Linked DNA regions of Notamacropus eugenii. Each later gene encodes a partner of the first gene's protein in a complex. Links are inferred from orthologs where the notes say so. Each region holds a gene or a part of one and is shown in the gene's direction. Other genes may lie near its edges.

Region 1 (7,623 bases):
CTGACTTTCTAGATGGCTCAGTATGTAGTGATTGAAAGAAATAAATACAAAGTAGTTAAATACAAGGTATTTGGAGATGGAGGACAGGCACTAGCAGTGATTAGAAGAGATGAGGAAGGCCTTCACACAGTGCTTGAGCTTAAAGGAAGAGAGGGACCCTGAGGTAGAGCTAAGGAAGGAATGAATTCCAGACATGGGAGATGACCAGTGCAAAGGCATGGAAATGAGAGGTGGGCTATCTATCAAAAAGGAATAAAAAGGCCATTTTTGCAGAAGTAAAGTCCAATGAAGTTGAAAAGATAGGTTGGAACCAGGCTGTGAAGGGCTTTAAAAACTAAACAAAGGAGCAACAACAAAAAAAGCTGTAGGAAGCCTTAGTATCTGATTAACAGAGCCACATAGTCACATTGACACTTTGAGAAAATTTCTGTAGCAGCAGTGATTGTGGTTCTGGTCTGCTACCATAAAGGAGACTTTTTCATTGGCTGGGGATTCATAACCAGAAGTGGAGAACATTCAAGGGGTGCTAGTTCATCTTCTCTAGGTTGGACTAGAGAATGGACCAATCAATAGGCTGATACAATAATCTAGGTAGGAGGGGAAAATGATCATTTGCATAGCTCCTACTAGGTAGATGCTATTATTAGCTCCATTTTACAGATGAGAAAATTAAGGCACTTAAGCGTCTTGCTCGGGATCATACAGCTAATAATAATAACTAACATTTACATAGTGCTTACTATATTCCAGATGCTTTGCAAATATCCCATTCGATCCTTAAACAATCCTGTGAGGTAAGAGTTACTATTATCATCTTCGTTTTACACATGAGGAAACCCTAGGGTCACACAGCTAATAATTGTCTATGATCAGATTGGAACTCAGATGTTTCTGATTCCAGGCCCTGCACCCTCAGCTGCCTCTAGGTTGATAAAGTAGTCACTGCGTGAGTGGAGAAATGTTGTGGAGGTAGAAATGGCGAGATTTGGCGACTAATTGGATAGATAAATGTAATGAAGAATGGGCAGTCAAGGGTAATTTCGAATTTACAAACCTCTGAGACTGGTACCTTTGACAGACATAGTGAGGTTTGGAAGGGGGGGTTTGGGGAGAAAGATAATGGGTTAAGTTTCAGACATATTGAGGTTGGTATGTCTTGGAAAGAATCAGTTTGAAATGTTCCATTAGCCACTGGTGATGAAGGACTGCAGCTCAGGGAGAGATAGGCTAGACATTCTTATCTGTCAATCTACATGGAGATGGTAATTAAAGTTATGAGAGTTGATGAGGTTCCCTAGAGAGTGTAGAGAGAAAATAATACCCCTGCTACTCATAGCATAGCCTTCCGAGCCTATTACCTTTCAAATACACTCAATTGTCTGCATTAAGAGTTGGAGATATATAGAAAAAAGTGAAAATAGTCCCTGAATTCAAAGAGCTTACATTCTACCATTGGGAAACAGATGGTGTTTTGCATTGTTCCCTAACTATACTATGTAGGCAGTGAGAGCTACAAGAAATCCTAGAGATCATTTCTGGAGTCCAGTGCCTTTCTTTTTTTGTCATCTGTAATGGGATATGGGCCAGTGAGTCCCAATGCCTACGAGCATGTGTAAGGTACATCTGATGCAATCTCCACAAGGACTTAGAGAAGAAACTCTGTAACTGGTTCTGGTCTACTTACCATAGAAGAATTTTTAACTGGCTGTGGCTTCATAGTTCAGAGTGAGGAGCATTGAAAAAGTATCAATTAACCAGAATGTGCCCTTCCCTAGGCTGACTTCTTCCTGTTGGGTGACCTTCTGGTGAGAAGGGAAAGACAGAGCTATAATGAGAGAGGCCTCAGCCACTCTTTATCCGAGTTGGACATATAGGTGGAATAAGCAGAAGTTAGAAAGCTTAGAAAAAATTGTCATACTAAGCAATCTGATCTTTTAAAATACAAAACACCTACATCTTCCAGACTCCTCAGGAAAGTTTAGATGAATTAGTCTTTTAACTCATTTATATCTTTAACTATACTATTATTAGTTTTCAAGTTTCATTATTATAATCTATAATTCATTTTTCATTCTCAAGTCTCCTTGTCATTTTCTTTTAAAATTTATTCTTAACATTCATTTTTAAAAAAATTTTGAGTTTCAAATTGTCTCCCTCCCGCCTGCCCCCTCATTAAGAGGGCGAGCAATATGATATCAATTATTTATAGGAAATCATGCAATACATATTTCCCTAATACCCATGTTGGGAAAAAAAGGAAGAAAAAATAAAATGAAAAATTATGCTTCAATCTGCACTCAGTGTTTATCGGTTCTCACTCTGGAGTAGATAGCATTTTGGCATCATAAGTCCTTCAGAACTGTCTTGGATCATTATAGTGATAGGAGTAGCTAAGTCTTTCACAATTGATCATTGTTATTTTATTCCTTTTACTATGTACAATGTTCTACCGGTTCTGCTCACTTCATTTTACATCAGTTCCCAGGCTCTTTGGAAACTACCTTGTTATTTCTTGTAACACAAAAAGGTTCCATCACAATTATATATCACAACTTGTTCAGCCATTCCCCAATTGATGGGCATCCCCTCAATTTCCTTTCCTTTGCCACCAAAAAAAGAACTGCTATAAATATTTTTGTACTTATCGGTCCTTTTCCTTTGATCTCTTTAGGATACACACCTAGCAGTGGTATTGCTGATTCAAAAGGTATGCACTGTGATAAATTATAGCCCTTTAGGCAAGGTTCCAAACTGTCCTTCAGAACTGTTCAGTTCACAACGCCACCAATAGTGCATTAGTGTCCCAATTTTTGTGTAGGAATACATTTAACTCAATAGTGATACAGTAAGGAACAATATAAGGGAAAAAAGATATAGGGATGGGAAATAGAGGGATTCAGGGAAGGATTTGCCATAAACAAAACAAACCCTAAGCTTGGAAAGAAGGGATCATGAACAGGAGGTTAAAGGAAAGAAAGAATAACAATCTCTAATAAAGTGAGTTTGAGGAATAAAAATGAGAAAAAAAAGAAAATAGAATGGAAGGAAATAAATATAAAACTATCTTGAATGTAAATGCTTGACTGTGGTTATGTGATACAGGGTTCTTTATTTCTTTTCTCAGTAGGAGGGGAGGTAGGAAGGAGAAAAAAACGCTTGATTATAGAAAAAAAATTTTTCCGTATAGCTTTAACAGTTATGTGAAAGATGTATTATAGACATGAAAGGAGCAATATAGATAAGGTGAAAGGTGACAAGGACCAGAATTAGGAGGGTGTCCATGTCAATGGAGAGAAGGCGATTGATGTGAGTGTGGAGGTAGAATTGAAAAGACTTGGCAACTGAATGAATATATGATGTCATGGTGAATACATGATGAAGGAATGGAGGATGCCTCCAAGGCTGAAAACCTGGGTGACTAAAAGGATAATGGTGCCCCCACAAAAACAGGGAAGTTTGGAAGAGGAGCAGGTTTTGAAGGAAAGAGAATTAGTTCTGTTTTAGTGATGCTGAGTTCTACATGTCTGTAAGACATCCAGTTTGAAATGTCCAATGGCAGTTGATGATGCAGGGCTGGAATTTGCAATATATATCTGGGAGTCGTCTTGGTAGAAACAAAAATTTAATCCATGAGAGTTCATGAAGTCACTAAGAGACAGACTGTAAAGCAAGGATTCCCAACCTCTTTCTGGCCCCCTATCTGGCTTTCAATAAATCCTTCGGTACCTCCTTTCAGTATGAAAGGAAATAAATTCTAACGTTTACTATGCATATGTACGTACAAATAAAATGTAGAGATGAATTTTCCATAATGAAAATTTTATTTCGCACATACCATTTTTAGCATTATAGTTACACTCTCTCTTCAAAACTATTTTTCCCCACTCACACTACTTCTTTGGGAATATTTTAAAGGGATAATAGTTACTTACCAAATAATTTCTTTACCCTGTCCTCGGTCTCCTAGCATCCCCCAAGAGTCAACCTACCCCAGGTAGAGAAAGTGTGGGGTGGAGAGAACAAAGCCTGGGGGCGGAAGGCGCTGGAGAATGGGGCAAGGAGACGCCTCGGTACCGAGCCTCCGTGACTTTGGGCCAGTCACCTAATCTCCCTTGACTTCAGTTTCTTGATGTCAAAGAAAAGGGGTGGGAAATGAAATCCAGCTACGTTCTCTCTCTTCCAGCCGCGGACACACAGGTCCACTTGGTTTAATCCAACAAGCCACCCGCTAAAGGCATACAGAAAGAAAGTTATTGGTACCTAAGAGTTTAAAAGAACCTTCCTCACTGGATCCAACCTTTCCATTTGACGGATGAGAACCTAGAGAACGGGAAGGGGCCAAACATCCCCTGCCCACCAACTGGCCAGAGCACGTCCATGGTTCTTTAAAAATTACAAGTCCTTGGGTGAAGGTAAGGTCTTTCTGTTGTGTTCAGAAACTTGCCAGCAAAAAAAGGTCGTGGCAAACGTTACTGCCCATTACCCTAGAAAGAAGGAACGTGCATTATCCATGCTTATCGTGTGCCACGCACTGTAACGTACTATTTTTTCTGATTAAAACATGAGTGAGCCACGGCTTGTGGAGCCAAAGGACCCGGGTTGGAAGGCGTTTTGCCACTTGCTACCCATGTGACCACCCCGGGCAAGTCATTTCAGCTCCAGGAGGCCTCCGCTTCCTCGTCTGTAAACTGAAGGGATTAGATGAAAGGCTCTCCAAGGTGGCTTTCAGCTCTAAATCTCACTGTCCGAGGAGTGAGCCACCTTCCTGGAGTGAGGTTTTAAACCAAAAATAAAGCCCCCGGCCCCAAACCAAAAAGGATTGAGAGGAGGTGAACCTGAACAAGCCCGGGCAACGAGGAAAGGCGGGGTAAACCTGCTCCCTCTGATTGGCTCAGGAGGTTTAGGGGGACCTTCGCGATGGGATTGGTCGAGGGAGCACCAGTAGCGTTAGGGAGGAGGCGGGCGGTTACGCCGTGACGTCATAGCGGCTTGCCGGCGAGCGCGCGAGGCGGAGCAGCGGAGCCTCATTTGGTTAGAGGCGGCGGTGGTGAGTGCGTCTCTGCCCCCGCTTCTGCTCCCGGGCCGAGGACCTCGCCTCAGTGGGTGAGCCCAGCCCTGTCTTCCCCTCGAGCCTAGGCCGCTTGGTTTTTCCTCGCTTCTGCTCTGGTATCGCTGTTCGCCACCATGTTCGAGGCAAGGCTCGTGCAGGGCTCCATCCTCAAGAAGGTGCTGGAGGCGCTGAAGGACTTCATCAATGAGGCCTGCTGGGACATCAGCTCGGGCGGGGTGAACCTGCAGAGCATGGACTCGTCCCACATCTCCCTGGTGCAGCTCACCCTCCGCTCCGAGGGCTTCGATACCTACCGCTGCGACCGCAACCTGGCCATGGGCGTTAATCTCACCAGGTGAGCTCGGGCCTCCGGTGCTGTAAACACAGTGTTCCCTCCCCCCGCCCCCGGGCTTCTCCCCGGGTTCTTGGCGGGAGCGCAGCCGAGCGAGGTAGTTCTTGCTGCCCGGGCCGGGGAGCGGTGGGGGGGGGGGAAGAGGCGGACGCGCCTCATTGGTCCTGGCGGCGGCAGGGGGCGGGGCCGGGCCGAAGCGCGCGGTTTGGGGAAGGGGAAGCGCGCCCCGGCCGCCTCCCGCCAACGTCATTTCGGCGCCAAGCTCACAATGCGGTCGGAGGGGCTGTGGCGGGAAGGCTTGCGTCCGATGCCCTCTATTTAAAGTGAAAAGCATGTCCGCTCCACGAGAGGCCTCGTGGCCGGAGCGAGCCCGGCCGAGGGAGGCGGCGGCGGGGCGCCTGTTAGGGAGGGCCGGCGGGCTGTGCTGCTTAACAAAAACCGGGATCGGCGTTCGGGTAAGGAGGGAGATCGGCGGTGCCTCCTGCCACCGGAATGTGCCTGTTTACGTCCACCGTGCATCTGCGTGTGCCCCGTTACAGGGCCGGCTGTAACCCCTCCGGGGCTTTATCGATGAACGTGTTTATTTACTGCTTGTTCTCCGTTGTCCAGCATGTCCAAAATACTGAAATGTGCCAGCAACGAAGATATTATTACCCTAAGGGCCGAAGACAATGCAGATACGCTGGCGTTGATCTTTGAGGCACCAAGTAAGTTTGTCCTATAAACGCGTACCCCGCTTTTTAGTTATAACACCAATACTGAAATATAAAATGGCATCTTGTGTTTTATTTGTAGATCAGGAAAAAGTTTCAGACTATGAGATGAAATTAATGGATTTAGATGTTGAACAGCTTGGAATCCCAGTAAGTATCGGAGATTTCTTGTCATATGTCTCATTATAATAGTTAAATAAAATTAATATGACCAAAGTCAATCTCTAATACTTATATATTTAGGTTCTAATATGTAAAGAAAATTTTTGGCATGAGAGAAAATCATTTTTAATAATGTGACATTCATTTTAACTTAATATGTACTACATTGTATATCTATTTAAAGAAATAAAGGGTTAAATAAGTCTAAAATCAGTGTTAAAATTCTTTGATTTATTAAGAATGAATAATAATAACAAAAATAATACAGTTAGGATTTAGAGCTAGAAGCCAATTTAAAAGCTTATTACCATACAGCAAAGCTAAACAAGTTAAATGTTGCCTGAGGTCGTAACTGAGAGTAAAGATTTGAGCTTCAGGTCTTTACTCTCCAAAACATTGGTTTCTACCACACTAGACAGCCTCTTTCCTCTTAATTTCCCTTCATTCGATCTCTACTATAATATTTGTATCTTAATTTTTAAGCTCATTAGACTTTTTTTTATTAATAACAGTTTATAAGGAGCTTTTCGTAGACTTTAATCATTTCCAAGGAAATATAAATTCTTATTATCTTCATCAAAGTAGAAAAGTGATTGGATATTAAAATTTCTAATATAAAAGTAACTAATTTTTTTTGGAAAACAAGTTTTTGTAAATTATACAGCTACCCATATACCCTTTCTGTGGCCCATCTTTATGTATCTAACAGGGCTGTTAATATTGATAATCTAGTATCTAGTAGGGTGACTGGTATCGAAACTCTTGGTCATTCCAGAATACATTCAAGAAAAATAGATTTGGCTACTCATAGCTATTAAATAGTTAAAATAGAATTAAATGTGCTTTTCACTTCCTTTTACATCAAATATTCCTTGAAAAGATAGTTGTACTCTTAAGCTTTCCTAAATAAATTATTTAATTGTCATAACTTAATTATCTTTTTGGAGTAGGTGTTATTCAAAAGAATGCAATTTCATAGCTCTTAATTCTTTCAGCAAATGAGATCGATGACATCTAAATATTTAAACTCCTAAATCATATTCAAAGCTGTTTTTGTATTACAGGAACAGGAATACAGTTGTGTGGTCAAAATGCCTTCTGGTGAATTTGCACGAATCTGTCGGGATCTCAGTCATATTGGAGATGCTGTTGTAATCTCATGTGCAAAAGATGGTGTAAAATTTTCTGCCAGTGGAGAACTAGGAAGTGGAAATGTAAAATTATCACAGACAAGTAATGTTGACAAAGAAGAGGAAGCTGTAAGTCAAATTTAAATCTTGAGAAAATAATTTAAGTACAGTGAATTAGGATATTGGTAAAGCAAAACCTATCCAGAGTTGAATAAT
Region 2 (7,675 bases), on another chromosome or scaffold:
CTCTTCCTGGCTCTGCCCTGTGAAGCCAAATGGAACAAGGCTCATCATATAAGAGCCCCTCCCCACTCAGGAAAGTATTCAGCAGAGATTCTTTGACATCAGTATTTAGAAGAACCCTTTCCACTCACCCACCCCCAACATGCCCCTGAACACCTCCCTAGGAAGAGCCTGGCCCTCTCCCCAAGGGCTTGGCCCAGGTGACCCTCAGAAATCTTTAGCTCAAAATTCCTCAAGACTAGGACATCCAAAGGCCCCTCCAGTTCTAAACCCTTAGAAGCAGGGCCTCCTGACTTGGTCCTAATGGTCCATGTGAGGGGTAAGGTTTCAAATTCACATCATTTTTAGAGAACATTCCCTGGGGGTTAGGAAAGAGCCCAGAGCCAGAGAAGGGAAAGACAGGGATGGGGCTGGACCCTGCCATGGGGTCTCAGAGATAGACAAAACTCCTGCATAAGAAAACATCTTCTACCAATACTGATTGGCACTTTTTTGTGCCATTTCTGGCCTTACCCAGCTACCTAGAGACCAGAGTGGTCAAGACTTGCCCAGCGACACACAGCCAAGCAGAGGGGGACGGAGCCAAGACTGAACCTAACCTTCTCTCTAGTCACTGTGCAGCCCCCATTCCTTTTCTTCCCCATGAAGAAAAGCCAATATCCTGGAGGCCACAGGCAATGGCTTTCTGCCACAAAACACCGCCCCCCCTTGCCCTTGCCCAGTTCTCCCTTGATGTCTTCCCCCTCAACCCACCCAAAGAATGGACCCGGGCTCCAGCACCAGTGGCCTACCCCTCTGCTTTTGGGTCCACCCGCCCCCTCTGCCTGCCTGCCCCATGCGAAGCTAGCACCTTGGCCTCAGGGTCAGCCTGGAAGAGTCCCTCCAGGACATGGAGGGCATCTAGGACACCATGGTCCCGACTCTTGCAGTAGGAGAGGAGGCGGTGGATGTCTGAAGGGGCCACAAACTGCTTGGAGATCCTGTTGGTGGTGCGAACCGGGAGGCAGGAATTGGCAAGAAGATGGCCTGGGCGAAAATAGTTGGCAAACTCCAAAGGGCAAGCTGGATGTGAATGGGTCAGATGACACTCGGTTACCACCAGGCGGTCCCGCAGTGGGCTGAGCTTCAGGATGATGAAGGCTGGACAGCCCAGCTGGGGGTTCCTACAAGAAGAGAGGGAAAGGGAGAGGTCACCCAGCTGCCTGCCTTGCAGGGTTCAGAGATAGAAGAAGCTTAAAAGGCACATCTTTTTATAGATGAAGAAAGTGAAGCCCAGAGAGGACCAGGAATTGAACCCAGGCTTACTGACTCCCAATACAGTCATCTTCCCATTGTCCCAAAGAGTGCCTCTCTTTTAACCTGAGTTAACCTGCTTTTCTGGCCCCTCTCTATTTCTGACCATCCCAGCCAGGCTGTTTCATAACTGGGTACATCAGTTTCTATACAAATTTCTTGCATTCCCACCATACCCCCCTCTCTGCAGTGGTTACCTCCTCACACCTCCCTCAGCAAGTAAGCCTGCCTCTAATACCTACAGGAATTGTTCTAGTCTCTCTGTCTTTCCCCAGTAGTAACACCACCGTGTTTCAAGTGGCAAGTCTCTGTCCTGGTCATTCTTTCTCTTGGTGACTTAATCAGTTCCTGGAGGGTTAATGATCATTTCTATGCAGATGAGTCCAATCCTACATGTCCAGTCTCCCCTGAGACTTGCAGTCCCACTCCAGAGACATCTCAAAACCAAGTCTAAAACTGAACCTTCAGTCTTTTCCCCTAAACCTTCCTCTCTTTCACTCTTTCCTATCCCTCCCCAAGGGCATGAACTACATACCATCTTCCCAGGGTCACAAGCTCAGTGACTTCCTCACAGTGGGGCAGCTAGGTGGTGCAGTGGATAGAGCACCAGTGAAGGAGTCAGGAGAACCTGAGTTCAAAACTCACATCAGCTACTGAGTCTTGTCTTGTCACTTCTTTGTCCCCAAGCTCTCTCACATGTTCCCTCCTCTCCACTGTAGATGTCTTCGACTTTGGTATCTATCCTCTCTCCTCTCTAAGCCACCCTCCACCCAATTGTCAGTGACTTTCTAAAAGCACAGGGATGATTACCACCATTCACAGAGGAGAAAACTGAGGCCCCAAAGGAAAAAGGGATTTTCCCAGGATCACAATGCTGGTGAGTGTCAGAGCAGACACCCAGCTCTCCTGACTCCAGTACCCTTTCTCAACTCCTTACAGTAAGGTGTTGGTCAGTAGGGTTTAGTTTATTCAGACTTCTTTTACAGACAAGGAAACTGACTCAGGGAGGCATATCCTACTCCTTCCCCCCTGCCCCCAGCTCTGACCAGAGTCCCTGGTGCCAAGAGAACAAAAACTCCTTTGTCCAAAATTCAAGGCCTTTCAAAATCTCCCTCACTTTCCCTGTACTCTAACCAAACCAAAAGCCTCACTACCCTCTGAGCAGTTGCTCTGCATTCCCACCTCCCTGCCTTTGCCCACACTGTCTGCTATCCTTAGAATGCCATACCCTTTTTCCATTTCTACCCAACCTTTGGAGTCCAGCTCATCCACAAAGCCTTCAATGTTCTCCCTTCCCCTCCACATACATGAGCCACCCCTTGCTTTCCAAACCAAAACAGAAATAATCCCTCCTCTCTAATCTCAGAGCATTTCTTAGGTCCTTCTTCCTAGGCCTACATCTCCATGTCCATGTCCTGCCCCTGCCCCTGCCATGTGCTGCAATTGCCTTGGGGGCTTTATTTCAAAAACAAATGCAAGGGTCAGAGGTCACAGGAAAACAAGTGGGAACCTTAACCCTTCCCATAAAAACCTTATCATCTATTTGGAAAAAGATGCATTCCAATAAGTTGGGAATGGCAATCAGTGTAAAAGAAAGCTCAGAATGCTGAGGAGGGCCCCAAGACAAAAGAGAGACGCAAGGGGAGGCTTCCTGGCTGGGGCAGCCCTGGAGCTGGCCATGAAGGGGAGACACCTCAACTATCTTGTGGGGGACAGTAATGGGGGCAGGTGGAAAAGAAGCAAAATCCAGATGCAGAGATGTAGAGCTGACATGGACCTGAGGGGGCACAGAGCTGGAAACTGTGGCACAGATTAAATGATTCCTCCCGGGTCACCTGTCTCTACCTCCACATCATTTCTCCAGGGGGTTATCTTAGATAAGGATGGGCAGGTAAGGTGGAAGGGCCTTGAATGCCACTGGGGAGGTTAAACTTTATTCAATGGGCAGTGGGGAGTCATGGAGGGTTCTGAGTGGGGAGGGGACATAATTGGAACAATATGGCATTTGGTTCTTGGTCAAACTCAAGTGTGGGGCTCTGTACCCAGACTCAACACCAATAGGCCAAGAGCTCTGGGCCCTGGCCCGGCTCCCACAGGAAAGCAGGAGAAGGGGCAGAGGCAGGACCACCAGGCCCTGCCCCGCCTTGAGCCTCTCACCCCGCAATGCCAGGCCTGACGGCAGGGGCCCGCACATCCTTGCAGACGAGCCGCACGTATCTGTATTTGAGGACATCGATGAGGGCCCGGAGCGGGGTATCGAGGGCCCAACGGCATTTGGTCAGGTGCATGGAGTTCTTGACGAAGAAGAGGGCCCGATGCTGCTGACACCAAGCATCGAAAAAGCGGCTGAACTCTGCCCAAGAGAAAAACTCCCGATCCTGCAGCTCCCGCTCCTCCTGGGCCCCGGCCTCGGCCCACGCCAGCCTTGGCTCCGCTCCTGATTCCTTCCCCAGCTCCAGCTCGGCTTCGGGCTCCAGCTCTCGTTCCTGTCTGGGCTCCAGCTGGGGCTCGGATTCAGGCTCGGGCTCAGTCTCGGACTCGGGCTCAGGCTCGGGGCCAGACTCGGACTCTAGCTCTGCCTCGAATTCTGGCTCCCACTCCGACTCCGACTCCGACTCCGACTCGGGCTCAGGCTCCGACTCGGACTCGGACTCTGGCTCCGGGTCCAGGTCCTGATCAGACTCAGGATCCTGCTCCTGCTCCGGGACAGGTTCGGGCTCCACCTCCAGCTCCCGCCCAGGCTCCGGCTCTGCTTCCAGGTCCTCCTCCATCCTAGGGTACCTGGGGGTGGGAAGGGGAGACCCGGACCTCAAGACCAGCAGTGACCCTAAGCCAGTGCTGACCGCCAGACAGGTTGTGGATGGAAGCGATAAGACACTGGAAACGGTAGATACTGGAGCCAGACTTTGTCCATGGCACACCTGAGCCCTGGCTTCCACTGGGCTCTTTCCTGAACCTATGCCCATCTCCCACCTCTCCCCCCCCCAGAAGTGAAGCCCGACATGCAGCTGTGCCCCTCCCTGCCCCACATGTGGCATGTTTGCTTCCAGCTGTGCCCCTCCCTCCCCCACATGTGGCGTGTCTGCTTCCAGCTGTGCCCCTCCCTCCCACAGATGTGGCACTCTACATCCAGCTGTTCCATTTTTCCCCCAGATGTGGAGTCCCCCACTACGCGCCACCCCCGCAGCTTCTAGATGTGACCACCCCCCCACCAGATGTGCATCTCTCCCTCCCCGTCACTCACCCCTCCCGCCCGCTCGGAGCCTGAACGAGCGGCTCCTGACGCCTTGGACCCTCCCACAATGCCCCGCGAGGCCAGGCTACTGGCCCGCCCCTCTTCCCAGAATGCTTTGCTTCCCCTCCGCTGGGTCAGCTCTTGCCCTTCTTCCCATCATGCCCCGCGGGCTTCCGTCCGGAAGCCTCGGCCAGACCCAACCCATCCCCCAGCTTCTCTTCCGAGAGCAGAGGTCCTGCCCCTCCCACTAGGCTGGACCACAACTCCCGGCGTGCCCCGCGAAGCGAAGGGGAGGGCAACCGGTCGGTGAAGTCACTCTCCTGGAGCACCTCAGCGCGCGAAAGTTGAGGCGCGAAGTGGGGCTGGTGGCTGGAGTGGAGCCCGAGCCGAGCCGGAGCCGGAGCCGGAGCCGGGAGCCGGGTCGGAGTCTTGGTAGCGTTACGCGAAGAGAGGTCAGCGCGCTGGGGGAGAGTTTTGGGGAGGGGGGGGCACAGAGGAGACACATATATAAACATACGCACAGCGCATGCTCCAGGCCCGCCGGCCTTGCTGACCCTCGGAGATGGGGAGGGGGCCGAGGGCCTCTGCGCATGCGCGAGCCGGGGAGTGGGGAAAGGGCTCTGGGTAGGACTCCTGTCAGGCCGCCGCGGTCCCCCATGGCCTCCAGCACGGCCCCCACCTTCGTCCGCATCGGTCTCCCTCTGCACGTCCAGGGCTCGGCCCGTGGCCGGCACACGATGGACGCCAGGCCGGACAGCGGAGGGAGCCTCGGACCCAGGACAGTCCGTGCGGGGCCTCCTCTGGAGGCTGCACCCCTCCCCGGCGCCCGTTACCTGAACCCCTGGAGAGAGGGGGCGCCCCGGGGGGGTGAAGGTGGGGGCGGGGCCCGGAGAGCTGGGGGCAGCGGGCAGCTTGTGCCCCCCGCGCCCATCCGGCATCCTCACACATCTGTACGTTTGGTTCCAGGAGGCGCTGCAGAGAGGAGGAAGGAGGGCAGAGCTCGGGAGCAGGCATGCAGCGATCCATCAAGTGAGGAGCCCCCCGCCCCGGCCCTGCCCTGCCCTGCCCCTGTGCCCGGCCCTGGGCCACCTTCCTGCCCTTGGCCCTGAGCCCTGTGCCCGGCCCTGGGCCACCTTCCTGCCCTTGGCTCCTCCACCTGTGCCCGGCCCTGGGCCACCTTCCTGCCCTTGGCTCCTCCACCTGTGCCCGGCCCTGGGCCACCTTCCTGCCCTTGGCCCTGAGCCCTGTGCCTAGACCTAGCCTTTCTCTGGTGTCTCCCCGCAGGTCATTTTTCCAACCTATGAGTGGGGACAAAGTGAAGAAGCAGGAAGAGTCCCCCAAAAGCAGCAAAGACAAGGAGCCTGCCTCCAAGTTAGTGGGGGGGTGATCTGAGTGGGCAGGGGCTCTTTGGGCTGATTGAGCATCCCTGACCCTCTGACCCCTTCCTGACCTGGCTTCCCCCCCAGGGCTACCCTGAAGGAGAGGAATGCCATAGAACCTGAGAGTGAGTCTCCAATCAAGAGGCCTATGAGGAAAGTGCCCCGAGCTCTGGGCAGTGAAGGTGAGGAGGAGGAAGAGGAAACAGCCCCAGCATCCCCCCAACAGCAGGTAACCAGCCTCTGGAGGTGCAGCAACCACTTTTCTCGCTTGCCCCATGGGGAGTACGCACTCTTACCTCCCCACACCCACTCCTTGTCGCCTGCAGGAGCTGACCATCCCCTCTCCGGCCACATCTCCAACCAGCTCAGACCCATACCCCTCAGACTCCTCACCCAACAGCATCTCCCCAGCAGGGATCCCAAAACGTCGGACAGGTAAGCGAGGGCAGGCTCATCTCTGCTCTGTCTCAGCCTTCCCCTGAGCCTCCAGACAGAGTAGCACCTCCAGCAGGTGCCTCCAAGGTAGCCCTTTCTCTTAGCCACCCTCCCCTCCACCTACACATGGTCCAGGCCACAGGAGTGAAGACCAGATTGAATCCTCAGCAGGCTTCTCTCTTCTGCCACTGAACTCCATTCCCCCTTACTGCTGCTAAAGGTCACTGGGGGTACCATGGGAACTGAGTTCAAATCCAACCTCAGGTACTGACTAGCTGTGGAAGGCTAAGCAAATCATCAGACTACTGCCTGCCTCAGTTTCCTCATGTGTATAATGAGGAGGTTGTCCATCACTGATTGCTCCCCAATCCTCACTTGCTCTCTTCATAGCTCGGAAACAGATGCAGAAACGGAAGGTCCAGGAGCTGCCTGAGGACTGTGAGGATAGTGAGCCCAAAAGGCTTAAGAGAGAGAGAGAGGAGAGTGCTCAAGGAAGAAGCCCAGAGATACAGCTGGCCACAGAGGCTGAGAAGGGGAACCAGCCTCCTGCAGAGGCTGTGGGCGAGGCCCTGGAGCCACAGGGCACTAGCGGTGAGGCAAGGCAAAACTCAGAGCCAAAGGCGCCCACGCAGGCACCCAAGGCTTTCAGCAGCTTCTTCGGTGAGTGTCTCACCTCTGGTCTGGGGAGGGCCAGCCTCCATTCCACACTGGGCTTGGGGGTTCTAAAGGGAAAAGAGCGTCTCCCCAGTGACACATTTATTCCACAGCCCCTCGAAAGCCAGCTGCAGCAAAACAAGCTCCAAAGGAGAAGGGGAAGGCAGCGGAGGAGATGTCCAGGGCGTAAGTTGGCCTTAGAGGAATCTCTGCCTTCTGGCTGGCCCCCAGCCAATCTGTGCCTGGGGAGGGAACTCCAGGGAGGGGCAAGAGGACCAGCTCCCCAGCCCCTGCCTCTCTCTGCCGCAGGCCCCCAGACCCAGGCACCTACAACCCTTCTAAGAGCAGCTATCACCCCGTGGACGATGCCTGCTGGAGACCAGGGCAGAGGTGAGGGCATGAGGGGCACCCCTGTCTGTGTTCAGGTGGTTTGCCCAGTGTATCCCCGTTAGACTGGGAGCCTGGCACATGGTAGGCCTTAATGTTGATTAGCCGGCTGAGTCCTTTATGGCTGTGAAGGTTTCATATCATGGGGAAGGGGAGGGTGATCGTCTCGCTCCTCTTCTGCCACCCGGCTGCCCTGTACCTGGAAGACCCCCTAGCCCCTCTGACCTTGCTTCCTACAGGGTCCCCTACCTTGTTGTTGCTCGGACATTTGAGAAAATTGAGGAAGTCTCCGCTC
Region 3 (8,013 bases), on another chromosome or scaffold:
GACACATTGTACCTTGACCCTAAAAAGTGATGTCATTTTGGTCCTTTTCAAGCATGAAGGATAACAAGCAGAAGTATTTATGTTTAGTTCAACTACAAATGTTCACTAATATAACCATTATTAAGCTGTATGCTATGCACTACAAAATTGTCTCCAATGACTTTGGAAGATTTTGAAAAATCAGATTCTCATTAAAGACATTACAAAAGCTCTGCACATACGTATAGAAATTTACTGGTGCACAGACAGTATTTTCTTTTTTGGGGGGTGGGGGTGGGGAATGCTTTGAATGGGAGGAGACATGCCAGCCTAGGTAGTAAAATAAAATACATCTGAATTTATCTAAAAGTAAACTGGGACTCAGTGGTATAGTAAATTGGTAGAATATAATCATTCTTTATATACAAGTCAAGCATAGCAATAAGGGTAATGGTACAACCACAACCAGCCTACAGATTGAAATACTACATCTCTGCTACTGGCTAAATTTTAAGGTGATATCACGTAACTATACATAAGTATTAGATGTTATTTCAAATTGCTAGTATTCAAGGAAAGGTAAGGATAAAGAATATAAACAGAAGGAGTTTTCCTCAGTTATGGGAATAGTTATGTATAGAAATAATGTACAATCAAAGCTAGAGCAACAGATCATTGCAACTGATCTAACTCTGTCCTTATGAAAAAGGAACAAACCTAAGCTACAGGACATCACAGGTTCACTTTTTCTGAACAAGTAGTGTTAAAAAAAAAAAAAAATAAGCTCAAGTAAAAGACAAGAGTTATAAATTTAAAGGCTACAGGAGGCACAGAGAGGAAACCAAATGAGAGATAAAAACGTGTCAGAGGCTGGCAGGAAGGAAGAAGACGAAAAATTAGTGAATGGCAAAAATAAGACTGACTTTTGAGGGGAAAGAGTCAGAATATTAAGGGACAAAACATGGGATGGAGGGAAGAGTCTTTTGGAATAGGAAAGGAAGAAATGACTTGGAAACAGGATTAAATAACTAACCATTTTGCTTAATTCTCTGAGCCAATTTTCTAATTTAATTACTTTTGTTTAAAAAACTGATTTATCAGGTATAGGTAAAATTTACTTCCATAAGAAATACAGTCACCATATTCTACTGACTTAATTACACAGGTTATGCACATATTAAAAAAAAAAATTCACTAGAGTTAAGTGTTTATTTTAAAATAGAGTTACCAAAAGAACTGACATGAATCCTTTATGAAACAACTTCTAGTTATTTACATGTACAGGTATCATTCTAAAGATGAGGTATATTGTTCTGTGGTTTGTAATTCCTTGCAATACCCAGAACTGTTTGCAACAAAAATATAAGATCTGCCTTGAAGCTTCCCTTGAAAGAGCTGACTAATAGTGATTAGTTATTTTAATGACTTCATAAAAAAGTCAAGATTTTTAAAGGCTTTACATTTTAATATTCACAATATTATTACTTGGCAAAGACTGTTAACTACTACAGCTACATTACTAAAGGACTTGAGCTGAACATTTACCAAAAAGGGTATTCACATGTACTAATAAAGGAAACGCTTTCCCCTTCAAAAATTATGGAAGTTTATTTCAGGACTAATAGGTAGGTATTCTGAACTGTAACCATCATATTAAAAACCCTAATAGACCATTCAACTATATAGGGGGATGTGGGAAGAACATGAAGGAGACTACCACCTGCTACCGCAGAGGATCCAGATACTGTCCAAAGGAATTGAGTACTAAAAAGGATCTCATTAGAAGAGTTTCATGGATACCATGGTCCATTTGGCAGTTATCCTAATGATACCTTTATAATAAGGCTTCAGTAAAGGTTGAAAATTGATTGCTTGGAACGTCTGGAGAAAAAAAGCTACAACTTTGGTAATATTTTTTATGTTTTCTTATATATTTGATAATGAATGACTTTTAAAAGTAATTATATATGACCTACAGGCATGACTTATATTAGAACTATACCTAAAAAATGCAGTACTCAATTTCTGCAAAGTTGGCAGTATTTTTTTTTATGCTTCTGAAATAAATTATTTTGAATATGTATTTAGATTCGCCTAAGTTACTGACTCACCTTCCTACTTTCTCTGTAACACGAAGTACTGGATATGGATATGAAATTGCTATATAGTATTACTGCTGAAATCAATAGGTACAACCTTTAATTAAACAGGAATTAGAGAATATTACTGTAGTGAAGGTATCATAGCCCAATATGTCTTCTATTATTGTTATTCCATCTATAGATGGCTCTTAGAGTAAAAGTCCTTGAAGGGCAGAGATGACCTCTGATCTCTGTAAGCCTCAGAGTCATTCAGAAAATGCCTTGCACATTAAGCTTTAACAGATTAAAAGCACACCAAGACTCTTAAAATAATCTGTATTTGTGGAATGAGAAAACTGGTAAAGCACCATATTTGAAAACAAAGGGAACAGGTATAAATTTTATTAGCTGTAATAATCTTGACCTTGACCAATTTATTTCTTAAAATTTTAGCTTTGTATTGGAGTGGAGAGATTATTGCATTTGGAGTTAGGAAGATCTGGGTTTGCACTGTCTCAGGAACTGGGCCCCTGGAAGCTTCAGTTTCTTTAACTAAAAAATAGGGATGATATTTTAAACTATATTTTAACTAAAAGATAGGGAGGATCAAATGAGATAATAGGTGTAAAATGTTTTACAACCTTAAAATGTTAGAGATATCGGCTATTATGATTACTTATCTATAAAATGAGGCAGTTTGACTAAATAACCTCTTCCAAAGCTGTGTTCCTTTAATGTTATGAATATTTGGTTATCAGTTTACTCTTAAGGTTGAACTTAACATTGAATTGAATGAAAGGATGGCTTTGGTTTTAATACTGTTATTCAGTGGTCAAAAAGAAGCAAGCATCAGTACCAAAAGGCATTTTCTAAGATCAAATTAGTTACATTTAATCTTCTCCAAAATAAATTAACGATATCTGATCTATTTACTATGTAACTTTTCTTTCTAAAAATGACAAAGTTGTGAGTCAAACTACACCCTCTTCTCAATGGTCACAGTATAAGTAAAACTACCACTCAGTTAAGATAGTATAAACACTTACATGGGTGTGACAAAGTAAATCTACTTAGCATTTAGGCTGATCCTAGCATATGTTTAACTTTCCCCCCAACCCCCTCCCAATTAAGGCAACTGGTAGCTAAAACTATCAAAAGATTAAACAATCCAAAAACCATCTATTGATGTCTACTGAGTATCCACTAGCTTTTTCTAAACTGAGTTGTTCCTACAGGAAGGGTTGGAGATGTTAAAACAAAATAGTGAGAAGTAACCTTACAACAGGGTCCTGGAATTAAAACAGATCACCAAATATCACCTCTGCTGCTACAGATAGCTACCATATGCCAAAGGAAAATGCTACTTCATCCAATCCTCAGTCTGGGGACTAAAGGAACTAGTAAAAATGCAATAAGCTATCACAATAGGTGCTTAATATTGACTATTATTGACAGTAACTCAACACACAAACAATAAGAGAAAGTAAAATTAGATTGTACAAACTACTCTCCTTATATTTGGAAAAGAGCAGACAATCCGTTTTTTTTGCACTGCACTTTCACTCCCTGCAACATAACTTCATGTGAGCTTTTAGTTAGTTTGACAATATTTTCCAATTTTCATAAGTTTCATCTTCTTAAAAATGGCTATTGACCAAAAGCGCTAAACTCACACTGAGAAGCATCTTTTCAGTGTTGTATTAGAAATTTGAAAATAAGCCAATCCCAGAAAAGCCAAGTTAATGTATTCAGGTGGCTTCAGACAGAAAACCACCTTTGGGTCAAAGGACCAGAGAGAAGTTGGGGGGGGGGGGGGTAGAAATAAACCACCCCCAAACACCCTACTGCTAATTTTCTCGACCACTTCCTTCAAGCACACCATCACCAGAAGGAGAGGAGCCCTTGCCAGGGGTGTCTGACCCTGACAGCGTTTCTCAGCCTGCCCTTAGAGCTTCTTAGGACAGACAGATGAACAGGAAAGATTTCACTACCAGCCCCACTGCCCCGCTGAAGGAGGGGGGGAGTGAGAGCGTGTGAGTGTGTGAGTGAATGTGTCTGTGCGGGGGAACATTCAACATTTTTTCCCGTCAAAGCACTGGGACAAGGGCTTACCGTTTGCTCTAAACGCAAGAAAAGATTTTTTTCGAAATAAACAAAAAGCTTCCCCTGGCCCCGCGAGGCCGTGGCTGCTGCCCGGCCCCGAGAGTCGGTGTGTTGAGGCACGGGCCCCCCCACGGAGAGATCGGCGTCTCTCGGGCCTGCTGTTTCTGTTCTCCGAGTCCTCGGGGACGCAGCAGCAGCTACAGCAGCTGCAGCCGCCGCCGCCATGGCAGGGACCCGGGCACCGCAGACGGGGCTCCCCCCGTGCTTCCTCCACTAGGCCTATGGGGACTCGCTCTACACATGGCCCCGGGCCGGGGGGAGGGGGAGGGGAGGGCTGAAGGAGGCCCAAGGTTCGGCGGCCCGGGGAGGGGGGCGCGTCTTTCGAACCCCGCCGGTCGGGGACTGAGGGCGCAGGCCGGTCCCCGGGACCTCGGCCAGCTCAGCTGGGAAGGCCACCCCCAATCCCGACACACCCCCTCCCCCTATCTGCCCCCCCCCAAGCACCTTCTCCGTTAGAGCGACCGGTTGGCGGGCGGGGGAGGGAGGAGCGGTACACCGGGGAGCTGGAGCGGGGGATGGAGGTGGCGGGGGGTGGCGGGGTGGTGGTGGTGGAAATGTCTCTTACCCGAGTTACTGAGGAGGAGGAGGAGGAGGAGGCGGTCGGAGCGCGGCGCAGCAGGGAGACAGCGGGGTTGGGTGGGCGCGACTGGGAGTCACAGGGGAGAGAATTAACCCCATCACCAGCCCCGGACACCGGCTCCAGCGGCTACCGCTGCTAACGAAGACCCGCCCACCACCACCACGCACTAGCCGCCGCCCGCCTCCTCCAAAGGGAAGTCGGCCAATTGCTGGTCGGAGAACTGAGGAAAGACACCAACTCTCACCAATCAACTTTCGGGATCCGCCCCTTTTTTTACTCCCTCCCCCCCACACTGCTGTGCCCCTCCTGGGCCGCGGTCGAGCTAAGTGCCAACCCTACTTCAGCCCGGAGAAAAAAAAGAACCAATCGGCTTCAGGGACCTCCGCTTGAGGGACGTGGCCATTGGCCAATCCCGGGGTCGCCCTGGGTGATAAGGCTTTTCCTTCTGTAACGAGGCCACCTTTTCCCACGAGTGGGATCCTGAGGATCAGGACTGTGATTAGAGTACTAGAGTGAGAAATCAATACCGAGAGTCTGAAAAAAGGATCTTTCGCTCTTGTGATTATTACGGTTAGAGAAGAGGAAACGTCCTTGAGCTCTAAGATGGGGCTTATTTGGAGCGTCGGTCCTCGGAGCTTTCAACACCTGGCTTCAGTAGCTAAGGACGATGGTTTCCCCCCCACCTTTCCCGCACACTTCTTAGCGGGAAACTACAGTTCCCATAATGGCCTGCAATATTCTTCCAACCTATTCTTCCTTTATCTTCCGCTGAGCACCATGGGAATTGCAGTTTCCAGGCGGGACTTGCGACCTTGGCCAATGGGAAGGTAGAAGGCGTGGGGCGGGAAGCCAATAACCCTCCCCCACCCCGCTCTTTCTCAGGTGAGGTTACGGTGTACTGCAGACTTTTCCTTTCCAGCCTTTTTCGTCCTCCAGACTCGTGAGGCGGACGGAAGGAAAGTTGTCTCAGGAGACGTTGTCAGAAATGAGATTGGGGTTCTCTTCCCCAATCCCTAGCCCCCGCCTTTCCTTTCGCCGCGTCTCCTCGACGTCACTTCCGGTAAGGGGCGGGCCCACGCTCCCAAACCCTTGGCGGGAGCCTGAGCTTCAGTGTCCCCCCGTCCAGGTGTGGGTCTGAGTTCGGCGTGGTGGACAGGTATCGTCCGCCTCTGCTGCCGCCCAGGTTTGGATGGGGATATTGGAGGCTGAGTAGGGGAGATGGGGAAAGAGAATGAAGGAAGTGGGCGGGGAGGGGGGGCGGGATTGCCATGGCCTGTTGCGCAGTGGAGAGTGTGCGGGACCTGGAGGCCGGAGGACCTAAATTGTTAGTTCTGTGACTCTGGACAAGTCACCTAACCCCTGTCTGACTCAGTTTCTTCAGCTGTAAAATCGGGATAATAATAGCACCTGTTTCGCAGGTTGCTGTGAAATACGAGATATTTGTAAATATAAGATAAATATTAAAAAGATACAAATATAAAAATAAGTTATTTGTAAAGCATTTTGCAATCCTTAAAGTAACAGATACTGGCTGTTTCCATCCCTTGGCTTGTCACGCATTATATAATTTTTTTTCCTATCCTCCTGGCCACTGAGTCAAGCGTTTATTAAATGTGACTCTAGGCCAGGTACTGTACTAAAGGCTGGAAATTTAGAAATAAAACAGAACGCCTCAGACAAAATATGTTCCTTGTCGCGGAGGAGCTTCCATTCTAACTGGGGAGACGTTATTGTGTTTGCCAAGAGCTATGTGCAAACACGATAGATCCAGGATAATTTCAGAAGGAAAGCGCTACCATTAAGGCAGACACGTGGTCAGGTTAGTCACTTTGGGAAGGAAATGAGCATTTATTAAGATTCTCTACAAATATCTCATGTGAACCTCACAACCATGGAAGGTAGGCACTATTATTAATTCCCATTTTACTGTGGAAAAAACCGAGGCAGAGATTAAGTAATTTGACGAAGATTGTTAACATCTTCCTGATTCCAAGCTAGCCCTACATCCAACTGTCTCTGTATTTAAAATGTGTATGTGTATACATATAAAAGTATTTTAGAAAGCTCATAGTAGGTGTTCCACAAGTATTTTTTGCCTGAGGCCTGTGTATGTAACCAAGCTGTCCATGAGCATGACATGCCAGAGAAGACAAAAACAAAGTGATTTTGGATACTGCCTAGTAATAGCGGAAAGAGGTCTGTACCTGAAGTTGAAGTGACAAGCTTCACATGCTATGTCTGCCACTTAATGCCAGCCTTGGGCAAGCTAGTTGCCTTAAGTGGAAAATGAAGGTGTTGAATTTGTTGAATGCTAAGATTTCTCTCAGTACTAAATCTATGATCCTGTGAATTCATCCTCCCCAAAAGTTTTTATATGGGTGAAATTAGGCTAATATGAACCTCAGAAGTGTATTTGACAGAAAAAAAAAGTCACAAAAATACAATGTGCGGTTTGAGGGTAGGATAGAAGTCTTTGCCTTGGTAAGAAAGGGCCTGCTGGTGGTTTGACACAGCTGTGTGACCCTTAAACCTTCAGCATTGGCTAAGGAATTGTTTTCTCCTTGAGACATTCTAGAAGAGGAGGCCCTGACTTACTGTATCTTAACTGTTTTTGAATATCAGACATCTTAATGCCCTTTATCTTATGATACAAACGGGGGAGGGAACACTAATATTGGAATCTCCTCTTTTTTTCCACATTCTACTCATTCTGAGACTTTCATCATGTTTTTTTGACTTCACTACCTTCTCTACTTATTTCACCCCTTTTCACTTTGTGGTACCTCATCCCAAACATCCCTGATATATACCTTTAGCTTTCATGCCTGCATTGATTTTATTTCCTTCATCAACTATTTCCATTTGTACTTCACATTTCATTTGCTCTAGATTGTAGGCTTCTGAATTGAAAATAACAACTCTTATTTCTGTGGTATTGTAACTTCCATATGGACTGTTGCACTCAGATACTTCAGTGGTACTTATATAGTAACTCACGATGGACTTTTTATCAGCTTGTACTTAACCTGGTGTAATGTAAATCTGTTTAAATTTTTCTCTATTCCTGTATTCACCAAGGCAGAGAATATTGAATTGAGTGTACTAGGGCATGGAGTGTTGAGTAAACTAGAATTAAAGAATTTTAGAACTGCAGTGGACCTAAGATACCTAATACCTTCAGTTTACAGGTACAGTCTATAAGCTTTTTGC
Region 4 (7,498 bases), on another chromosome or scaffold:
AATAATCCTGTCCTGAAAGAATTTACATTCTAATTGGGCTGAGAGAGCTCTAAATCAAAGACACTGAGTATTTGCACAGAGCAGCAGATTTTGGAGTAGAGATTGTTAAAGGTGGTCTTTAAGGATCTGTACTGACTTTTGAATGGTGGAAAGATTTCCCTGGAGCTAGAGATTGGGGGAAGTCAGCCCCCACATCTCCCTTTATTCTCGACACTTAGAGGTTGTTAAGAGCAGATTCCCCTGGATAAGATTATTCTATTTCTCCTTAGTAGAGTAGAGATTTTATCTTGCTACTGTCTGAAGAGTTCTTGTATGTTCTTTGATCTCTTCTAATCTGTATAACCTCCCCTTTCTTTATGTTTTACTTTGATAAAGAAATTTACCAGCTATTTGTCATGGTCTTTTGTATAATCAGTTTGGCTGGAGGGAGTTAAACTGGCAGTGGGGAGCCTAGTGTTACCCACCCCTTGATAGTGATGGGTAAAGTGCCTTTTATTCTGCATCCCTTATTGTACTGATGGGCTACAGATATTTGTTATGTGGTAGATAGATATAATTTTAGTCCAATGTCCTTCTTGGCAATACGAGAGTATAGGAAAGACCACACAGCTATGTTGATTTGGAATCCCACCTACTCTTTCCCTGCTATACTACTGGTAGTATAGGCAAGGAACCTCTTCTTGCTCCTCACTGAGAGAAATGATTGCTTCTCCCTCATATTAGTAATCATTTATTGCCGTAGGACAAGAATTTTTTCAGAAGCCTATAGGTTGTTCAGTCTCTGAAGGACATTGCTGATAAATGAGATTGAATCAATTTTCTCCTCAATCTGGTTCAGACCCCACCCAACTTTACAAGGAATTTAATCTAAGGTGGGGAAGTCCATTGTGCTCTACACAGGTATGGGTGGGGATGAATTCTTTAATTAAATTGCCCAAGGCGGGGAAATTTAGAAGTAAACAATATAATGAAAGTTACATCCCCACACCCTTCATTAGAATAGGTCTACTTCTCATTGTAATTTTCTTTCTCTCTCTTTGTTAACCAATTAGAGTTGATTGCCACCCTCAGGAACAGGCATTCTTCCAAGGTCACAGAAACTGCGAGCCCACCACTGTGATTGGTTTTTGGCATTCCAGAATGTCACTGAGTCTTTTATTAATAAAATGCTAGCATTATTAATAAAATGATTAACTACCCAGAAACTACATCTCTCAGACTTTTTAAATGTCACATCACAAAGAAGAAATCACAGGGACCTATTGGAGCTCATTATACAGGGTGGGGAGAAAAGAAAACATTGTTATACACAATTTTTTTTTTTAAATCTCACTGGGAACTGAGTGGAGGATGGATTGAAATGGAGAGAAAATTGAGGCTGGAATATTAGTTAAAACCCTATCACAGTAGTCCAGAAGATAGATTATTAAGACTGAAACCAGGACGGTTGCTGTGAGAATGGAGGAAATGAGATTTCCAGGAGAGATATTGTGGAGGTAGAAATGATGAGATTTTGCAGTACTTTGGATATGAAGAGTGGAAAGTGAAAGAGGACATTAAGATTGTAAACCTGGTTGACTTGAAGGATAGTGATACCCTTAACAGAAATAGTAAAGTTTAGAAATGAGGAATGTTTGGGAGAGACATATAAGGAGTTCTGTTTTGGATATGTTGGATATAAGATGCTGGAGGACCAGCCAAGATGGCAGACTAGGAGGAAGCAATGCAGCTGAGTTCCCCACAGCTACATAAACAAATATGTCAGATAAGCACCTGAACAAACTGTAATCAGAAAACTAAAGTGAAATCATGGTAGGTGATCTTTCCAGCAGAAGACCACATACTCAAACCATAGGCAAGTGACTATGAGAGTTACTGTGGAACATGGATGAGCCAGGATTGTGGAGCCAGACCTGAGGAACAGAATGAGGGGACTGGAATCTTGGTCTTTAGTCCTTGGGTTTGGGCCATAGTTTTGTCACTGTAACCCTGGAAAGGAGATCTTAGCTCAGTGCCCTTCCTCACTCCCCATTCCATGAAAAGGATCTAGGATGCAGCTCCTCTTTACAGAAGACTTTTCTTTTTTTTTAAACTAATTTATTGTTAGTTTTCCACAGACACTTACACAAGATTTTGAGTCCTAAATTTTCTCTCCATCTCCCCCTTCTGCCATTCAGAGGATCCCAGGATTGTGTTCATCCTTTGTTGCCGAAGAAGATCATGCCATCGGAGAAATCATTTCTCCCATGGCATGACTTGCACTTGACTTTGTTTTGAGTGAGGGAGGGCCATGCAGGTCACCAGCCTCACTTCTCCACAGCCATTTGAATCCAGTGACCAGATATTCATCAGAATGACTGGAGATGCATGTTTGAAGAGCCAGCAATGGAGACCAAGATGGAGCCGTTATTAAGAGAAAAACCAGGACACACCACTCTCAAGAAAACCTAGAGGACAGTGTATTGTTGCATGAATCCATTGACTAACCATTGCCAATAACCCAGCAAGAGAAAGAGACAAATTTTTACTGCAGTTCATTCAGTGTGACACACTCCATCAGCAATTGATGGAAATGTGTGTCATTCACAATCCAACTAGAAGTATTTACATAAAACCAAGAAGAAAAGATGGCTGCTTATTAGAAAAGAGTGTGCTCATTAAGGAAAATGTCTATCACTAGCTACAGAAGATAAAAGATCTAGTCGTTGTTAGTACAGCTAGTTGTACTAAGTCAAAAGGAACTATACATTATGTCAGACAAGATAAAGAAGGGAAACATTCCTTGGGCTGCTGAAGTCCTCCTTTCCTAGCAATTAAGTCTTTTGTACCAATTAGGGGAAGAAAGAAGATACTGAAAGAAATCAGCTGTGGCAGTTCGTTCTGTAGTTTATGCAGGGCCCATACACAGCAAAATTACAAATACAGAACAAAATCATTAGCAACTCTGGAGTGGGAAGTTTCTATTTAATGATGAGACTGGAAGCCTGATCATACAAGGTTTAGAAAGGAGTGAGAATAGAGGAAGAGAAGGTCCTAAGTGTAGATTATTTTCTCCAGGAGATCAGTCATCAATGAGAGGATTGGCATAGGATGATAGCTTTGGGTATGGTAGGATGGAGTGAGGGAATTTTAAGGCTAAGGAAGACAATAGGCATGTTTGTAGGTGGTAGGGAAGGAACTGGAGGCTAGGGGGTGCAGTGGATAGAGTACAGGACCCGGAGTCAGGAAGACCTGAGTTCAAATTCAGCCTCAGACATTTATAAGCGGCGTGACCATTGGCAAATCAGTTAACTGCTACCTGCCTCCGTTTCCTTAACAGTAAAATGGGCATAATAGTAGCACCTAACTCCCAGGGTGGTTGTGAAGGTCAAATGAGACATTTGCAAAATTCTTAGCACATCCCAGCTGGACAAATGATAGTTGTTTTCCTTCTATGGTAGATAAGGATCTCTGAGATCCTTAAGGGATAAGAGAATGGAAAAGACGGTGGGGGCAGTGGCTGGAGAGCTGAAGAGATGGGTTCAAGAGAAGTTTGCCTTGGTAAAGAGAAGGGCTGTCTCTTCATCTGAGCCCCAAGTGAAGGGGACGTAGCGGGGGAAGGATTCTCCAGGATGGACGGGAGAGGCCAGGTCCTCCCCTAAACAGGCGGCGGGGAGGGGCGCTGGGACGCTTGAGGACAGAGGTCTGGCGCGGCCGGGGTGGACAGTGGGCAGGAGGACGTCTGTCCAGAAGCAAGGGCTGCGCGCAGCGGTGACCGTGCGGGAGCCGGAAGGCCCTGAGGCGGGTAGGGAGGAGAGAGAACTATCCCGGCGTGCGGATGAACGACGGCATATTCGGGAAATCCAGAGTAATCAGAAAGACGCTCACTGAAACTGCCAAGGGTCAGCAAAGCTGTGGTCCGCCCTTTGGCCCCCCGAGCGCCCCGGCCATCACGCCGGGCCGGGCCGGCAGTCCGGGTGCAGCGGCCCCCCAGCGCAGGCCCGAAGTCCGAGGCAGGGCTAGCTCTCCGGAAGGCCTGCCTCATCACTCACTTCTCAGGTCCGCCCTCCCACAGCTTCCTGCACCGTTACGTAAAAGGGGGGCCCGGAGGGCGAACAACGAGGCCCACGTGGGACGGCCGGGAGCGCCTACAGCACCGAAGGCTCCTGCGGCCCCTCGTCAATAACCGCGGCGCTTCTCCCGGGTCCCAGGCTCGGTACACGCCGCCCGCCCCCCAACCCGGCCTTCGGTCCGGGCCGACTCCCCAGGACCCCCCGCTGCGAGCCGGGCGCAGGCCGGAGAGCACTAGCGGCCGGCAGACGACGCGGGGGCGGGGGGCGGGACTGAGAGGAGTCCTGGTTCCCGGGCCCCGCCGCCGAGCGGCCCAGCGCGAGGGGGCGGGGCTTCATGCTCAGGACGGCGTAGGATTGGCTGGAGTATCTCTGGGCCCGCCTCCTGACCGCCTTCTTTATGCATATGAACGACGTGCGCCGGGAAGCGTATTGATTATTCATGACGTTTCGCGGGCTTCTCCGGGTCACGTGGGCTTTTTCGCGCGAAAACTGTTTCTCCGGGTCGGAGGGAGTTGTGGATCTGGGAGCTGAGCTGAAGCAACTATGGCGGTGAGCTGGGCTCTCGGCCAGCCTGAGGGCGGGGAGGCGGGGGGGAACGTGACCGAGAGAGACCCGAGAAGCGGATACGGGGGTCCTTGAGGGGCCCGGTGGGGGCTGCGAAGAAATAGGGATAAAGGAGAGGGGAGGGGGTGGCGGGAAGAGAAAAAAAAAAAAAAAAAAAAAAAAACGTGAATGTTGCGCACGCGCAGTGAGCAGACGAGGGGCCCTTGGGCCTCCTGTGGGGGTGGGGGGAAAGAAGTGAAGGTTGTGCGTTAGTTCCTCCGGCTTTTATTTGTTTAGGGCCCTGCAGTCTCAGGGGGGATGAGGCCCCCACCTGCAGGGAACTGTGGGGACGAGCCCACTAGTGGGGGGGCAGATGGAAGGTCATTCTGGGGGAGAGGTTACTGGGGGGCGGGAGGGGAAGCATGGGTGGGGGCGGGGCCGCCGAGAGTCCGACAGGCTAACCGTGTCCGGTTCTGGGCCCAGAAAGGTCCTGCGGGCAGGGGCCAGGGTCAGCGGCTGCAGCTCCGCAGAGAAGCCGGGGTCCGGTGGGGGCAGACAGGCACCCCTGGGTGCTTTAGGGGGCTGAGGCGGTGGGGGGCGGGGAAGGACCGCGGTTAGATAAACTGCTATCCAGCGCGTCTGACGTCACCAGCCTCCCGCCCCCCACTTAAGCCAAGTCTGCTCCCAGGGTCCGCCTGAACTCGGGGGGAATGAGCATAGAATATAGTAAAGTATCTCAGACGTGGGGGGCGGGGCACTAACCAGTGGTTCAGAAAAAGCCCCTGGAGGGAGGGTGGGTGAGCCGAGCTTGGAAAGGGCAGGCTTCCCGGGGGAGGGAGCGCTTGAGCTGGGCTTTAGAGAATGGATAGAAATTCAGCTGGTGAAGAAGGAAAGGGGGGATGGCAGGGGGCCTTAGGGAGCTGTGAGCAGCAAAGACCCCAGTGCTGGAGCTTAGCTAGCATCGTAGAGGGAGGAGGGGGCTCCTGGGGACTGCCACTGAAGAGCCTTCCCTCTGCTTAAGCATCCTCACCTATAACTGGAATTGGCACCAGGGCTGAAAGTGCCCCAATTTATTAATCTCCCTTTCGTTTCTCCCTTCTCTACTTTGATAGTTTTTTTCTTTTAAAAATATCACTCTCAAAGGAAATCTCTACTTTGTGGGAGCCTTTTCAAAGGAAGGGAGAAGAAATTTGTTTCCTTACACTTCATAGATCCTATCCTGGACCCCAGCTCTTTTGCTGGAACAGGTTCTCCTATGAAAGCCTCCGTCATTGCCTCTGCACAAATGCAGAACTGCTGACCGGTCTGATCCTTTTTCAGGATTCCTCAGAGTCTTTAAATATAGCCTCCTCTAGTCCAGCCAGAAGATACAGACGGGTCAGTGATGGTTTGACATCTAGCCCTGGGCGGGGTTCCCGGCGTGGGGGCACTGATGCTTTGACTTCCAGCCCTGGCAGAGACTTGCCACCTTTTGAAGATGAATCAGAGGGTCTTCTGGGCACTGAAGGGCTTCCTGATGAAGACGAAGAAGATGGAGAAGAGCTTATTGGAGATGGAATGGAGAGGTGAGAGGTTTGAGAAAAAAGCAGAATTGATGGTGGGATGATCAGGGCGTTTGAGAATCATTCTAGACCAGAACCCTATTCTTTAGGATTGGCTAGTTAGGTAGGATGCCAGGGAGTTAACTGCATTTATTACTACTTTGTAGCAAGTTTCTTCCCCCTGCCTCAGTTTTCCTTCCAGAATATATGGAGATGCCAGTGAAACATAACAGAATTTTTTGGGTGTAGCCTGATCTATCCTTAGGGGAAAATGTATATCTCTAACACTAGTTGCAGTTTCATGATGTATTGTTGGTGGGACTGTCTCAAAGAATTCAGTCAGACCACCTCTAGTCCAAGTGTAGACATTTATGAGAATTGATGCCCCTCAGAAGCAGGATAAGGTTCCAAGAGGAACCAGCAACTTAATAAGACAGGATAGGCAATTTTATACTGTAATGATGTTGACTACACAGCAGAGATTATGTATATTAAAAAGGCAGAAGGGGTTTGTTAAGGGATTAGGTAATGGGGGGAGCCCTTCTATGACTCAGTTGTCAAGCATCCTGGTCTGGGTGCTTTCTGATTGGCTAGCTGTTATGGTCCTGTCAGATCAAGATGGATAGTTGGGTATTGTGGTCCTGTCGTGGGCTAAAATGGATGATGTGATTGTGGTTAAGTACAAGGACCCACCTGTTCAAATATGTGGATTGTGTCTAGGGTCAGTGGGGTAACTAAGGGCAATAGCTGTATTGAGACTGGGGGCCTGTGATGTGGTTAAAGCCAGATTGTGAGGTCAAATCAGGGCCTGCTTGTTATTCAGTGAGTCCCCTAAGGAAGTTAGAATTTTGGGGCTGGGGGCAGCTTTATTAGGATTCCATCACTTTCATCAGCAGAAGAGAAAGAACAGATCAGTGAATTGGACATGCAACTAATAAAAATTAGATAACCAACAGACTTTTAAAACTCAAATGCCAAAATGGAAAACTTGAAAGTCAAGAAATTAATAAAATTGAAAGCATAACATGTGGAGAGTCATTTTTCCTTTGCTGAGATAATGTATTATATAGTTAAGTTAAAAAGTGCACCAAGACTTGGGAACACCTGTATTTTGAGCATTAGGTTATAATTGGGCAGATAACATTGCTCTAAGGACATTGGAGATTCTGTACTGTTCTTACCAGTGCTTTTTTCATCCAGTATTCTTTCTCTGATGGCAGCATCAAAAGATGATGTGTGGGAAAGCATACCTACCTACCATGACAGTGACCATAAAGATTGATTTGATGTTCCCTAAACATCCCTAACTTTTGAGTCATAAATGTCTATGTCCATTAATAAAGTGCTTTTTGATCTCTGAGG

Evidence for each region.
Region 2: the proteins of PCNA (region 1) and LIG1 are in contact, whole or in part, in a cryo-EM structure (PDB 8B8T), measured with the Homo sapiens proteins. The link is inferred for Notamacropus eugenii from reciprocal best matches to the Homo sapiens genes PCNA and LIG1. Residues at the interface, in NP_002583.1 of Homo sapiens: Met40, Ser43, His44, Val45, Leu47, Leu126, Gly155, Arg210, Ala252, Pro253, Lys254, Ile255; in NP_000225.1 of Homo sapiens: Ala361, Gly363, Arg364, Ser368, Ser388, Thr389, Gln390, Arg391, Leu392, Met393, Leu394, Val432.
Region 3: the proteins of PCNA (region 1) and ZRANB3 are in contact, whole or in part, in a crystal structure (PDB 5YD8), measured with the Homo sapiens proteins. The link is inferred for Notamacropus eugenii from reciprocal best matches to the Homo sapiens genes PCNA and ZRANB3. Residues at the interface, in NP_002583.1 of Homo sapiens: Met40, His44, Val45, Ser46, Leu47, Gln125, Leu126, Gly127, Ile128, Pro129, Asp232, Val233, Pro234, Tyr250, Leu251, Ala252, Pro253; in NP_115519.2 of Homo sapiens: Asp1071, Ile1072, Thr1073, Phe1075, Leu1076, Val1077.
Region 4: PCNA (region 1) and MCM2 share a complex: the UniProt entries of both Homo sapiens proteins name them as parts of the replisome complex. The link is inferred for Notamacropus eugenii from reciprocal best matches to the Homo sapiens genes PCNA and MCM2.

Annotation. Positions count from the first base shown.
Region 1 is NC_092872.1:632,582,281-632,589,903, reverse strand, and holds the start of PCNA (proliferating cell nuclear antigen), read left to right. Parts: upstream 1-4,619; 5' UTR 4,620-5,184; coding exon 5,185-5,405; intron 5,406-6,011; coding exon 6,012-6,109; intron 6,110-6,197; coding exon 6,198-6,265; intron 6,266-7,341; coding exon 7,342-7,536; intron 7,537-7,623. UniProt on the Homo sapiens protein: Auxiliary protein of DNA polymerase delta and epsilon, is involved in the control of eukaryotic DNA replication by increasing the polymerase's processibility during elongation of the leading strand.
Region 2 is NC_092876.1:12,034,710-12,042,384, forward strand, and holds the start of LIG1 (DNA ligase 1), read left to right. Parts: upstream 1-4,673; 5' UTR 4,674-4,977; intron 4,978-5,109; exon of another isoform or gene 5,110-5,149; intron 5,150-5,491; 5' UTR 5,492-5,537; coding exon 5,538-5,554; intron 5,555-5,809; coding exon 5,810-5,896; intron 5,897-5,991; coding exon 5,992-6,133; intron 6,134-6,230; coding exon 6,231-6,339; intron 6,340-6,729; coding exon 6,730-6,999; intron 7,000-7,106; coding exon 7,107-7,179; intron 7,180-7,302; coding exon 7,303-7,383; intron 7,384-7,619; coding exon 7,620-7,675. Other genes in the region: uncharacterized protein, read right to left, coding at 848-1,160, 3,448-4,061.
Region 3 is NC_092876.1:298,454,934-298,462,946, forward strand, and holds the start of ZRANB3 (DNA annealing helicase and endonuclease ZRANB3), read left to right. Parts: upstream 1-5,001; 5' UTR 5,002-5,863; intron 5,864-5,867; exon of another isoform or gene 5,868-5,986; intron 5,987-8,013. UniProt on the Homo sapiens protein: DNA annealing helicase and endonuclease required to maintain genome stability at stalled or collapsed replication forks by facilitating fork restart and limiting inappropriate recombination that could occur during template switching events.
Region 4 is NC_092874.1:427,038,839-427,046,336, reverse strand, and holds the start of MCM2 (DNA replication licensing factor MCM2), read left to right. Parts: upstream 1-4,483; 5' UTR 4,484-4,595; coding exon 4,596-4,601; intron 4,602-5,915; coding exon 5,916-6,160; intron 6,161-7,498. UniProt on the Homo sapiens protein: Acts as a component of the MCM2-7 complex (MCM complex) which is the replicative helicase essential for 'once per cell cycle' DNA replication initiation and elongation in eukaryotic cells.